Linked DNA regions of Tamandua tetradactyla. The protein of the gene in region 2 interacts with the protein of the main gene of each other region in a pairwise test. Links are inferred from orthologs where the notes say so. Each region holds a gene or a part of one and is shown on either strand. Other genes may lie near its edges.

The links.
Region 1: the proteins of CIBAR1 (region 2) and CBY1 interact in binary tests that used the Homo sapiens proteins (3 or more experiments, as listed by UniProt). The two-hybrid records come from large-scale screens. The link is inferred for Tamandua tetradactyla from reciprocal best matches to the Homo sapiens genes CIBAR1 and CBY1.

What each region holds. Positions count from the first base shown.
Region 1 is NC_135333.1:31,105,711-31,112,799, reverse strand, and holds the start of CBY1 (protein chibby homolog 1), read right to left. Parts: upstream 3,041-7,089; 5' UTR 2,006-3,040; coding exon 1,838-2,005; intron 1-1,837. Other genes in the region: protein FAM227A, read left to right, coding at 7,076-7,089. UniProt on the Homo sapiens protein: Inhibits the Wnt/Wingless pathway by binding to CTNNB1/beta-catenin and inhibiting beta-catenin-mediated transcriptional activation through competition with TCF/LEF transcription factors.
Region 2 is NC_135332.1:137,014,788-137,022,536, reverse strand, and holds the start of CIBAR1 (CBY1-interacting BAR domain-containing protein 1), read right to left. Parts: upstream 3,071-7,749; 5' UTR 2,963-3,070; coding exon 2,937-2,962; intron 2,339-2,936; coding exon 2,104-2,338; intron 1-2,103. UniProt on the Homo sapiens protein: Plays a critical role in regulating mitochondrial ultrastructure and function by maintaining the integrity of mitochondrial morphology, particularly the organization of cristae.

The sequences.
Region 1 (7,089 bases), on a different chromosome or scaffold from region 2:
ACTGATTATGTATGTTGTTTTGTTTCTTATTTTTTAATTAATAAATTAAAAAAAAGATAATGCATAATAATTGGCAAGCTATATATCCAACAAGAACATGAAAAAAAAACTTCTATGCTGTTTTCAGTGATGTGGAAATTAGTTTCACTAAAAATAATGATAAAAGTTTAGAAGGCCCTTTGGGGCTTTTATAATATAAAACAAAGAAGTATATATATAAAATGATTTGCAAATAAATTTTTAAAAATGGGTATAAAGATATTGGAGGATGTTTCCTCCTGATATTTCACAGGTAGGTGTATATATGTAAATAAAAACTGTTTGGGCCTGGGGACCACACCACAGGCCTTGGGCAAACCAGAATGTCTCCAGCTTAGTTGTAGAGGGGCAAGGGGTGGGGTCCAGGATGTTGAGGGTTTTGAAGCTGTGCGACCACTCATCCAAAACACAATGGCATGTTTCTGCTAGAGAAGAGAAAAAGGTGATAATGTGGAAAAGGGAAGAGAATTAATCTTAAATCTATAAAGGACAGATAACAGTGAAACAGAGGAATAACGAGGAAGAAAGATTTTACCCCAAAGAAGAAAAGGGAAAGTCACCAAAAATTAATGTAATTTCCTATGTACCCTCCATGAGTTGGATCCTATATTGGAATAGTTCATATATTTCTTATATTCCTTGCAGCAACCCTGCAAGGTAGGTAGGTATTTTTCCACCCATAATAAAGATAGGAAAGTAGAGCTTGGATAAATTTTTTTTCAACTTGTATCGATTTATTAAATTAGTATATTTCTATGATAAACACTAGTCACGACCTAAGGTTCATTACTGCTGTGATTATGGTCACAAATTAGAGACATTTTGCTTATCCCTACTGGCATAAATAAAATCAACAAGTACCTTTTGGCACTTCATAACTTAAAATTCTGAAAAGTTGAGATCGGGGCTTACAATTTGCTATTTAAGTGACCAGGTATGGTCTTGACAGTAAAGCCACCATCAAGAGCTGCATTAAGAACTTCATCTAAGCAGCTTGCTGTGACAAAAAATCTTGTGGGCTCAGATAATTTAACCAATTTGCCTAAGATCCACAGCTAGTGAGTAAAGGATCTAAGCAAGACTATCTGACTCCTAAACTCATTCTAATTCCTAAGTGTAATACCACCCCTAAAGAATTTTTACTTTCAGAGTACCCTGGAAAAAAAGATGAGAATGGTTGTATCAGCAGGAGGTACAACAACCCTCTGCCCCCACTCCCTTCCTCCAAGAAGTATGCAAGCAAGGGTAAAAGACTTCATGTTATGCTAAGTATCAGAATTTGTACTGTTTAATTCTGAAATTCCCTGATCAGTTAGCTAATCTATTAAATTGCCCTTATTTTAATAATTTGCGGGGCACATTTAAAAAGAAGCATTTTCGTCCATCACGTTGGAAAAAATTTAAAAGATGCATAATATCCAATGCTGGTGAGGGTAAAGGTGTACAGAGAAGAGTTAATCTAGCAGATCTCTAGAATGGTCTTAGAAAGGCCTGCTTGCAAGCTGGGACTTTCGGTGACATCTAGGAACTGGGATTTCAGGAGCATTCCCATCATTCCCAAAACTGATGAGAGTGGCTCAGTGTGCCTAAACTGTTCGTGTAAATAATGCGGTTTATGCTGAATACCTGCCTTCCTTCTGGGGGTCCAGAATCTTGGTACATGCCAGGCAGAGTGTTCTAGTTTGCTAGCTGCCGGAATGCACACACCAGAGACGGATTGGCTTTTAATAAAAGGGGATTTATTTTGTTGGTTCTTCAGAGGAAAGGCAGCTGACTTTCCACTGAGGTTCTTTCTTACGTGGAAGGTACAAGATGGTCTCTGCTGGTCTTCTCTCCAGGCCCCTGGGTTCCAACAACTTTCCTCGGGGTGACTTCTTTCTGCATCTCCAAAGGCCTGGGCTGAGCTGCTAAGTGCTGAGATGAGGAATGCCGAGCTGCTTAGCTGTGCTACGTTGGGATCTCTCATTTAAGCACCAGCCAATTCAGTCAAACATCACTCATAGCAGCAGACTCGCCTCCTAGCCGACTGCAGATGTAATCAGCAACAGATGAGGTTCATGTACCATTGGCTTATGTCCTCAGCAACAAGACTAGGTATGCTCACCTGGCCAAGTTGACAACTGAATCTAACTAACACACAGAGGGTGCCTATGTGACTAACCCCTGGTGAAAACTCTAGGTACTGAGTCTCTAATGAGCTTTCGTGGTACACCACATTTCTGTCATACTTTGACACATTTGTATCACAACCAGACATAAGAATTAAGCATGTCCTGTGTGACTCACTGGGAGAGAACTCTTGGGAGCTTGTGTCTGGTTTCTTCAGGACTTTGCCCAATGTGCCTCTTCCCTTTTCTGATTTTGACTTGTATCCTTTCACTGTGATAAACCATAGCCATGAGTATAACTATATGCTGAATCCTGTGAATCACAGGAATCACAGAACTAAGGGATGGTCTTGGGGACCCCTGACACAGTGATGAAAAAGATACTTCCATTTACCATCAGTGAAAATAAAAAATGTTGTAATTCTTTTGAAGGCAATTAGAAAAAACCGGCAAAATTTTAAATGTGCATATACTTTTTGGCCAGCAAATCCAATTTCTAGAAATTTATCCTCCAGAAACATTTGCACAAGTTCAAACAAATTTATTACCTTGTTGGCAGTAGTGAAAAATGACAAACAATCCAAAATGTTTACCAGTGTTGGTGTGGACAAATACATTGTGGTAAACATTCTTAAAATAGAATACTAAACAGCCTTTAAAACCAATAAGATAGCTCTATGTTGACTGACCTGAAAAGTTCTCCAACACATGCTCTAACATTAAGATAGGATACGAAAGAACAATGTGGATAGTAGAATATCATTATAAGAAGTCAGTAAGAAAAAAGCAAGAATTTATATGTGTAAATAAAAAAAAGATCTGGAAGGATACACCAAAGTCTTCATAGTAGTTACACATGAGGAGAGTAGGATAACTGAATAAAAAAATGGTCAAACATTGGTAAAAATCATTTGGTATAATATAATGTAAAATAATTATATATTATGGAAATATACCTTTGCATTTAATATATTACAATGATAGTATAAATCATGTATATTTATGAAAAAAAGGATTTATGAAAAAAACAGTGCTTGCCTCTCCAAGTATCTGGAGACCTTTGAAGAAGGAAAATAAGCAAAGCAGTTCCTGTCAAAGCCCTAGATTATGCTAAAAGCATCATGTCTGACACATCATAAATCATGTTCTAGGCTGGGCTTTGCCCCTCAGGTACTTGCTAATCCTTGAACAAGTCATTTTATTTCTCTGGGTTTTAATTGGGGCACTTCACTCATGATCTCATTAGTTCTCCTAATCCTTAAACCAAGAATTGTCATCATATATTAAAAATGAGGAAAAGGAAGGTTTTGGGCTAGTTGCCTTCTAAGGCAGATCCAATAATTCACAAACAACTCTGGCTGCTATCCTGGAGCTCTGAGGCATTAATTAGTGTGGGCCTGAGGGACCCAGGCGCCCCTTTGGCCCACAGGAGCCTTCTTTGCAGTGAAACTTCCTAAGGAGAGAAGGTGCACTCTGAGGAAGTGAATGAAGGGAGGAGAATATATCTGGATTGCAATCATTGCTCTTTCACTCACCTCTAGGGTGACCCCAGCACTTACTCTCTCTGGGCCTCAGTTTCTTTATTTATAATCAGGGTTAATAACAGTACCTGACTCTCAGGTTGTTAGCACTTTAATGTGTATAAAAAGCAGTGGCATTTGAGCCTCACAACAACCCTGGAAGTAGTTCAAGTAAGTACGTCCCCATCTACTGATCAGAAAACTGAGGCTTCAAGAAGCTAAATAACCGGTCCCAAATCACGCTGTGGGAAAGTAGTGGATGTGGGCTTCGACCAAGGTCTACTCCTTGGTCATAATGATCACTAATCATTATGCAATGCTTTACAGTTTGCAATGGGCCCTAAAATACACCATCTTATGGTAATTCTAACAAGAAGGTTAAGGGACGAGTCTTCGGTTCTTATCAAATTCCCAAAAGGATACCAATATCTCAAAAAGTTAAGAGCCAGTCCAGCACATGCTGCGCAGGTAAAGCCACGAGGCACCCGGGGCTCTCGGACTCAACTAACGGTTCTTAACGTCCACATGCCCGATCACATTTACACGCAAGATCACCTTCTCTGCAGACCTAAGGAGTTGGAATTACAATCTCAAGTTAAAACCGAGGAAATAGACCTCGAGAAGGGAAGTGACAGGCCGAGGCTGAGCTCGGGCCCCGCCCCCTGCGCCGCGCCCCAGGCCCCTCCAGCTTCGCTGAGGCCCTGAGTAAAGTGCAGAACAGACTTTCCGCCCCTCTCTGGGGAGGCCAGGGCGTCCAGCCCTCTTCTGTCCCCTCAGGCTACCCAGGCCTCGCTGCCTCGGGCGGTACCGTGCTCGGGGACCTACCTGACGTGGTCCCAGAGCCCGAGGAGAAGCGGACCCCGACAGCTGGCCTGCAATGACCCTCCTAGGTGCCAGTCACCCACCACTACCGCGGCTCACGGCCGGCTCCATCACCCCCGGCTCCCAGAGCGCGCGCGCAGCCCCGCCCTGGACTCCACCACCTAATTAAAGGGGGTTCCCAGAGCGGGGTGGCCCCAAGGCGAGTCTACGCAAAACACCAGAACATCTTGCAAACTTCTCTCGATAAATTTCACAGTATATACACAGCAGCTTTCTTTTGAAATCATTTACATTCCCCATATTATAGGCCATGACGGAGAAATATTTTCATTCTCCCCCCAAAAACATTGGTCTAGTCCTGCACCTCTACGGCGGCCAGCTCATCACCGTGGTAACGGCGTCTCGCGGCGGCCACCGGGCTGGTTCGCGGTTCTATTGTGGGAAAGACGAAAGTGGCGGCTGCGCAGGGCGTTGCCTTGAGAACGCCAGGTCTCACAGTGGCAAAATGGTCTTCCTCCTCCTCCTCCCGACCACAAAGCAAAAGGCACTTTTCCCAAGTGGATGTAGGGGCAACGGGTGTCTGGCAACCCATCCAGAACTTTGCGAAGTCCCTCACTTTGCGTGGTCCCCTGAGGAACCTGTGGCGGAACCGGCCTCGAGGTAATCGGATTCCGTCCATGACTTCAGGTAAGACCTGTGGATGGACAAATGCTGGCCCGCCCTGTTTGCCTGGGGCAGCGCGCCGGATCCCGAGCAGGCCTTCCCCGCGCGTGAACTCTCATTCGCTTCTACAGGCAGGAGAAACTGAGGCCCAAGAACTGCTTCAAAGTCACACAGAGAACAAGGGTCTGAAAACTACTCGAGAATCAACTCCAGATCTCGTGAAGTACCGACAGCGTCTATTATTAGTTCCGTTAGATAAATGGAGAAACTCAGGACCATTTGTTCTTTCATTCAGGGGATATTTATTGGGTTCCTAATGAGGAACTGAACCCAGGGTGTCCTGGCTTCAAGGGCAAATCTATTCCAACGACACACACTGCTTTGGGAAGAGTAGTCCCGTCCTAGAAGGGTCTGGACCAGAGCTTTCCAATAGAAGCATAATGTCATAATATGAGCCATGTGTAATTTAAAAGTTTGTAGGAGCTACATTTTTTTAAAGACAAAAATACAAAAACAGGTGAAATTAATATGAATAATCATTTATTTAGCCCAATATGACCAAAATATTATTTTCAACATATAATTAATATTTTAAAATTAACTCTGCTTCGGTTTTAAAATTTATCTGCAGTCACACTAACCAAATTTCAAGCGTTCAGTTATCAGGTGTGGCCAGTGGCTACTGTATTAGTACAGATTTAGCCTCTTCCTGTTTTTGCAGCCTTGCTTCCCTCTGTTCTGATGTCATTCCACTCCCCTTTGTCTAATTAACTCCTTCTCTTCCATCAGCTCCTTGCTGTGAGACTAAGTCAAAACCCACTATTATGTCATCTTATAGCATGTGTACCTTCTTTGGAAGCAATGGTCGTAGTTATTGCATAGTCACTTATGTAATCATTTGATTATTGCATGTTTCCCCCATTAGACTTAAGCTCCTTTAGGGCAGGCATAATATCTGTTTTATCACACCATCCTGTTATCAGTATGAACACATATGATAGGCACTAAGTCAATATTCATTGAATGATGAGTTAATCTCGTCAATTCAGTCCCGAGTCTGCCTGACTCCAAAGTCAAACAGGGGGCATTTGAACATAAGCTACCTAAGTAGCTTTGGTGTTTATCCATCCACCTGACCCAAGCACAGTGCTTGCTTGGCACAGGGTCAATTTTCGATGAAAGTTAGTTTTCTCTCCCCTCTTCTTTCTGCCCCTAAGTAGTGATGGTAAACATTTACTTATCATATTTCAGAGAATACTTATTCTAACATAGTATGATAAAAAAATTCAGAAGGGAATGTGATGTGTATTTTAAACATTTTTCTAAAGACACATGTTCAATTTTCCCATTAGTCATAAGTAATGATATTAAACTAAAACAAGAGGATTTTCAGCAGGGTAGCCCTAAACCTAGTTTTTCAAAGAAAATGCTGTAGTTTTCCAGTTATGCTGGGGGATGGGTGGGAGAAAAGTGAGGAGCCCTAAAACGCACATACCTTCTCTTTCTCCACCTCTTACCTGTATGGCTAAATGCTAGGAGCAGGTGGGAAGAAAAAGTATTGAGCTGAGCCTAGGCCAGGCTTTCCTGTAACGCAACTGGCTTAGGACAGCCCAAGACAGATACCTTTTTTTCAGGCTAGGAAAGAGTGTGATAAGTGAGTGAATCTAAAACTGAATCAAATTTTGAGGGAACCTAGTCTTTAAAGAATATTTTGTCTAATACAAAAAGATGTAGTAGCAAACAATTCCAGTTCAATAATGTAAGTGCTGTAATAGAGAGATGACAGCACAATCCTGGACTTACACAGAGGAGAGGCAGCACTAATGGCCTTGAGGAATTCAAGATTTTCCAGAAGATAAATCAGTTGGCCTGAGAGTTGAATAGAAATTTATAATTTAAGGAAAGCAGCAGGGAAGGACATTTATGGCAGAGGAACA
Region 2 (7,749 bases):
AGTAAGACTGAATGAAATTCTAAACCCAAACACCTTAAAAAACTTTAAGCTGAAGAGTACCAGTGATAGCACAAAAGCATCCGCTGTGCAATGACAAGAAAATGTCTCAGGTTTTTGAGGAGCTCATCTCTGCCACACCATCATTTCTGCAATACTTTTTTACCTTAAAACAGTAGCTTTTGGGACAAGTTCTAAGACATCTAAAATTTTAATACAGTACCATTTTCTGTGTTCTGTACAGTACTGGATACTCAACATACATTATCTCTAAAACGAAATCGCTGTTTTCCAGATAAGAAAATTGAAATTGAGAGATACAGCTTATTGGAAATATTTAAAATTGTTCACAATCCTCAAAAGCAAAAATGGTTAGGGATCACTGCATTAGCTGCAATTTTTCTGAGAAGCCATTTGTAAATTATCAAAGCCTAAAGAACAAGATAAATGGTCTCAGTGTTCAAACTGTATGGTTGACCTCTCTTCTCTCCCTAGCACACATTAATTCCTTCTTTTATCTAGAATTATTTCTTAAACATTACCACTTTTTATCACATTTTGAGTAATTATTTTTACTAACAGCACTAGTGTAAAGCACTAACAAAACAGATTAAAAGAAATGACCAGTATATAAATATAGTATAACTCTCTCGAACATTGAAATTTTCTCAGAACAGTAATACAAGATGACACATTTGAACGTGTATTATTTTTATAGCAGGGAAAGGCTTTTTTTTGATAATACATGCATAATCAATGAATAATTTTCATTTCATACTGATTTTTGTTTAGTTCCTGTAAACAAAACATAAATGAATGTTTCATTTTCAAAGATTTAGAAAAGAAAAAAAAAAAAAAGAGGTCCCATCAAGCATATAATTAGTAATCCTAAAATCAAAACTATTACTATTAAAAGGATAGTTTAGTCTATACCATTCCTAATAATCCATAGACTGAATTCAGTGTAAGGATTATCCAAATCTTTTTTCTGTTCTCCTTTTTGTTGCCTACCTTTTGTTCATTTCATTGTTCATTAGCACCTCCACCATTTGGTAAGCAAGGGAAATAAAAGGAGAACAAATGTAAATCAATTCACTTTGCTATTTGAGAAATAGCATAAAGGTTTTCTAGAAAAGGACACTGAATATATTGGCAAAACAGGAGTTTTAAGATTATTTGTGGGTATAAATTTTTGAAACATTAAACCCCCAGTTTTCAAGTATAACTGAGAAGTATTTATCACAGAAGAAACATCACAAGAACCGAACATTTTTCCAAAAAGAACTCCAAATGCAATTTTTAATCAATTTCTGAGTTTTTCTAGTTCTGGATGAGCAGTAATCATGGGTTCAAAGATTATTATACATTCTATTTCTTTTGATAATTGAAATTTCTTTTTTAGGATTTAAAAAAGGACCAAAAGCATTGATGAGTAAGGTACAAAAAAGCAAAGCAGATCTGAGCAACTCTGACAAGTTAACTTATGTCTTGAAACCAAAAATATTAGTAAAAGCTCTTTTTCATTACTGAAGGGGAAAAATGGGCTTTTAGAAAGAAAAAACCATTATACGTCTACTCCTCCCCCCCCTTCCCAAAAGAGCAAAAACCACAAAGAGGGCCTCAGCTAATCACTGGATATAAATCAGCATTTTTTTTGTTGCTGTTTTTGTTAAATTTTTCAGAGCCTGGAAGCTGCAATGATTTCTTGTCCATTTATGATTTATTCACACACAATGCCATTTCCAACATCTTCCACTTCCAGTCATATGTACATGCAAAGGAGACACAAGTCATGCTTCTTTTCTTCCCATGGGCACTTTATATACTATCTCCTATAAAAAATTATCCCTTGGCCAAAAACTGGCAAATGAAGTGGGGGAAATTCAAGACTTCAAGACACACTAAAGTGGTGATTTAAAAAGCAGTAAAAGAAAACACAGAAAGCTTTCCTTTAATAGGTACACACAATTGTTACAGACACGAAAATCTGTACATTTATCATCGCGTGTTTGTTCACCACTGAGGATACACAGAGGTCTTCATGGTTCCTTCATCCATTACTTCATGCGTCATTCTTAACAATGATGCTGTGACCTTGCTCCATACCTCTGCTTGTCGATAATCCTGAAGTTTGGCAAACTCATCAGCAAAGTTTTTCAGGCCCTGCTTTAAATTTGGGGTCTCAGTAGAGGCATACCCGTTGATTTCATTCACCAAGAGGTCTGCTTTGTCTCTCAATCTGGCAGTTTTCCGCACATAAGCAGCAAAGATTTGGCACAGCTCTCCAAAATGCTTTTCCACATTTGTGACAGCATCTTGCAGTTGTCTGGTTTGAGCGTCCCTAGCGAAAAAGGTGACACACAAAAAAACCCAAAACATTTTTGTTAGAGATGAGGCAGACTCACTGTCATGTGCATTTAATAAACGAACATTGCCGGGATACTTTGCAGCTTTGAAGGCGCAAAACCATCAACAATCCCACCATCTCCCGGGGCAGATCCTCCTCCTCCAGGACCCCATTCCCAGCCTGGCCACGATATCCGGCCAATGTAGGCGGACAGAGAAGCTTGAAAGGACGCACGGGACCTACCAGCTACCGGGGGAGGACTATTGAGGCTGGGAAGGCAGCTCCGCGCTACACGGCCTGGCTTCCCGACGAGGTACAGGTAGCCGCCTGCCTTCCAGGCTGCTGCACAGCTGGGACCAAAGGCCCAGAGCTTGGGTTGGGGCAGCGGCCCACCCATCCCTGGACTCCCCTTGGGCGCCGGGGCTCGCTCCAGCACAGGGAAATAGGCCTCAGGGCGCAGAGGCGGCGGCGGTCCAGCCTCCGGCCCAAGGCTGGAATTCGGCGCGGAGGCCCCACGGAAAGAGGCCCCACTTCCCCCACCCAAGTCCTCGCGTGTGGTAGGCCCTAGGCAGCTGGGCCCCAGGGCCGTTACCGGTTTTCCAGGCTGCGCCTTAACATCTTGCCTCGCGCATCACCGGGAACCCGGTGCTGGGGCCCGACAACCGACGTTCCGAGGCGCCCGAGCGCGCGCCAGGGCGCAGGCCGACGTCGCAGGGAGCTGGAGAGCCCGCCCCGTGCACCTCCGCGTTGGCCGGGGCGTTTCTATGGAAACGCAGCGCGCGCCCCCGCGCTCAACCCTAGCGCCAGACCTAGACTGTCTGGGGCTCGAGAAGGGCAGCGCGGGAAAGCAATGGAGCTGTCACGCCCATCCCTGCAGATCCGCCCGCGCCCTCACCCGCGGATGCGGCTCCCGGCGAAGTTCCTTAAAAACATCGCGGAAGCCCCTCCCGCTGGAGCTTTCTTGCCACGCCTGAACGAAGAGCCGCGTTTACCTCAAATGCCCATTGGTTTCCAAATCCTTCCAGGTTGGACCGTAGCAAAAGAGAGAAAAAAAGACAACCGAGCAATAACCCCGAGGAAAACGTAGAACTAAAGGCGAAATAAAGGCCAGTCTATGCTTATGTTACATTTGGTCACATATGTGCAACTCTGAAAATGTCGGCTCTTGGAGGCTGCCTTTATAAGGGGAGCAAGTGCTTAATGCTTCATTTTAAAATTTTCATCTATTCAGCAGATATTTATTGAGCACCTACTTTGGGGGTAAAGATTATGTTAGACACTTGGAATAATACAGTGTTAAGAAGGGTCTCCAGCCGTGGAGAGCTTGAGAGTTTAATGGGACAACGGACACTTAATCCATAATACCCTTAGATGAATAATAAGAGACATTTCTTTCTCCTTTGAACACTCAAGCTGGTTTCTACTTGTGTTTGCTCGTTCAAGTAAACACCTGTTTAGCTTTAGGACTAAATTCAAGCTTTATCTACATCAAGAAGCCTTCCTGGACTTCCTACCTTTCCCTAATCAAGTCAGCTTTTGGGGCCCCTTCTTCTGTGATATATTTTTATTGGTTTTCTGTCTCTGCTACTCTAGACTTTGCACTCTTTGAGGCAGAGAAAATAGTCTTGCTTTTGTATTCCTTTGTGCTTTGTTCTGCTCAAAACAAGATTTTTTTTTGATGGGGACAAATTTATGCCCCTAGTCCTTTGTTACCTCTCTTATGGAACTTACTCTGTCATGTTTCAACGTGTATCTATCTTCTGCTCTTGCATTCAATTGGCAAGCTATCTATTGAAGTCTGGTATCTTCCAGTATTGTGCTGGGCTCTGAATGTGCAGTGGTAGGCAAAAAGTAGAATAGTCTTTGCCCTTATAGAGTGCACTGTGTGGGAGAGGAGGAAGGAAGGACTAAGAGGAGGTAAACAATGTATTTAATTAAACTATTCAACAAATACATGTGAAATATTAAGTAAATTTTGTGCAACTGTATCGTTTCTGCTGTGTAACAAACCACCACGACTTCAGTGGCTTAAAACAATCCTTTTTCTAGCATCAGGATTCTCAGTCCATTGGCTGGTTCTTCTACTTCTTGTCTGCCCAGCTGACAGGTAGCTGCTGGTAGCTGACTGATCTAGGATGGCTTAACACACTTCTAGGGGTTGGCAAGCTGTCATCAGGGAAAACAAGAGCAATGTGTTTCTTATTCTCCAAGGGCTGGCTAGACTTCTTCAAATGGTTGCAGGGTTCCAAAATAACAAGAGAAGACAAACCCCACTGCATAAGTACCCTTCAGATCTCTGCCTGGGTCACATTTGCTGATATCCTGTCCATCAAAGCAAGTCACATGGCTGAGCCTAGGGGCTCGTGAGTAGAAGCAGGGGAAGAATTAGTGGATACTTTTGCAATCGAACACAATTTGCTCTACCAAAACTACTAAGGAGTAGTACATGGCACCAGCAGAGCATCTACTGAGTATAGTGGTTTGGCAACCTAGTTGGGGAAGGGCTTATTGAGGAAGTGACCGGTGAGCTGAGATCTGAAGAATGAGAAGGCGTTAACTAGGTGAAGAGGGAGAGAAGAACAGTCCAGAGACATCACAGGCAAATTGAGCCCCCAAACCCACCCCCATCTCTCCCTTACTTCCATATCTCAGAAAATGGCAATACCCTCCTAGCCGCACTGGCGATTCCCATCTGCTCTACCTCCAGAATTTTGAATCATTCCTTCTTCATTTCTTTTATATCATCATAATCCAAACCACTGTCATCATTAGCCCTTAGCGCAAAAGCCTCCTTACTGGTGCCCTCACATCCACATACTGTAATGCACAATCAAACATGTAAATCAGATCATACCAATCTTCCAGAATTTCCTTGTGCACTTAAAATTTAAAATCCTTATCCTGGCTGTTAAAGGGCCTTACCTCACATCTGTATTCCTGGCTACTTTCTCTTGCTCCCCCATAGTGCTTTAGCCACACTTTTTCTTTCTAGTCTTAGCATATATCAAAATTATTTCAGAGTCAGTTTTTTTTTCTTTTTGTAGGCTGTATGGTGGGGTCACATTTCGTTATTTTTACATGTGAGTATCATGTTATTGTTGCACCAGTTGTTGAATTTTTAAAATTTGTTTGTTTGGTTTTTGTTTGTGTTTGCTTATTTGTTTGTTTTTTTGGGAAGAGCATGGACTGGGAATCGAATCCAGGTCTCCCACACGACAGGTGGGAATTCTACCACTGAACTACCCTTGCATCCCCTTCAGAGTCAGTTTTGTGTTTGTTATTCTCTCTGTCCAGAATGCTCCTACAATGATTTTCACATGGCAGGCTACTTACACTAGGGGATTCTGCTTAAAAGGCACCTACAAACTGAGGGCTTTTCCTGATCACCCAGTTGTTACATAGCCCCCTGTTTTGTTTTCTTTGAAACATATATTACTCTCTGAGTTTAACCTACTTGTTTGTATGTTATTTCTCTCTTCCACGACTAGAATATATTCTCCATGAAACGAGGCACTTTCTGTTTGGTCACGTTATGTTCCCAGTATCACCACAGTGCTTGATCCAGAGTAGGTACTCAACAAATAGATGAGTTTACAAATGAGCATATGAATGAATGCGTTAAAGCCCCATAGCAAAGGGAGCATGGTGTTTGTGATAAATGAAAGACCTGTGAGGTCGGAGTGGAGGGGTGGGCTGGGTATTGAGGTATGAGACATAGTTGGAAAGTCAGTAGGGCCAGGTCATATAGGGGCTATGTTAAGGCGTTTGGGGCTTCATCTTAAAATCATTGTGAAGCTATTGATGTAATAGAGCCAGAACTATCTTATTCATTATGGAATTCTTGAAACTATTAGTTCAATGCCTCATAAATAGCATATTAATTCTTGAATAAATACGTAATACATTCCATCAGTCTTAATCCAATATATGGCATGGATATTCCCTTGGAAACTTCTACGGAGATGCACATTTTTTAATCTTTCTGTCTTATCAACAGACATTTCAAATCTGTATCAGCACAATTGTTCCCAAGTCTTTATTACTTGGCCGTATTTCCTGTCTTTTGGGCTTATACTGTCTGCTAGAGTGCATCATCTCATAGAAGAGGTGCTGGGGGTAGGGAGGTCAGTGCCTTGGCCAAGGTCACATGATGAGATGGTAGGAGGGCTGGAATTAAATCCTTTGTCTTCCTTCTCCAATGTGCTTCCCACTGTATCAGGGTCTCATTTCATCTCTCTCTCTTTCTCTCTCATGAATCATGACTTTTTGCAAAGTTCTTAAACAAATATAAATGAAAATCACCTTGACAAAAAAATGCCTTTTAGTACTTTTGGAAGGAGGTTATGTGTCAGAGGATCAGTCAATCACTGGGTATAGTATTATAAAATTCTCTGGAAATTATTGTTGCGGGTTACATATGGCATATGTAGTGATTTTTATTAAACTGTTGCATCATATTTGTATATGTATTGTGGAAGAAAATGGTCTTATTTTGTATAACATTGAATGACTTCCAATTTATTTATGATGCTTTAAGAGGTCCATTGGAGCAAAAGACTTACATTAGTTCCATTCACTCACTTATTCAGTAATCACTTATTGAGAACTTGTCATGTACCACGTGCCTTATTTTCCATTTCTGTTCGCAAGTGCTCTGAGTTAGGTGGTAGGACACAGCTAAACATACAATGCAGTCTTATTTCTTTGGGACTTAAAGGGGATTTGATATAGTTTTAACTAGATTATTTTAATTTAAATTATATTGTAATTTTACTGGCCTGAGCCCCCCCATCCCACCAACTTTAGAAATGAAGAAAGATATTAAATTACCTAACATGGTGTAGTGTATATATGGGCTAACAGTGAGTTTATGCCTAAGCAATATAGCTTCAAATGTAGCTGTTTCAAATAACCTAAGCCAATTGTTTTAATGATGATACATAGAAATAATGCTTCTTTCCATCCAGCAAAAGATTTACTTTTTTGTATGGTTTTACTAATTTTTTGCTCTTTAAAGATTCAATATTTGAAGGGTTGTTAAGTACTCCCTCTAGTGGTTAATTTAGTACTTAAGGTTATTTGGTCAAATTGGAAGTCAAGGAGATATAATGAAACCAGCCCTAGACTCCTATTTTTTTTTTAATGGCTGTTTTTAAAGTAGAAATCACCTATAACTAGTTTTCATCTTAAGTAATAGGGAGGGAGTATAATTAAGCACATGGGCTTTGACGGCTCTAATTTCACAGCCTGTATTCAAAGCCTTATCCCATTACTGTTTCAAGCTTTATCAATGCATCAGAATCACCTGGAAGGCCTTTAAACTATGGATTGCTGGGCTCAAGCCCCAGAGTTTTTGATTCAGGAGGGCTGGAGTGAGACCCAAGAATGTGTATTTTTTTAGCCAA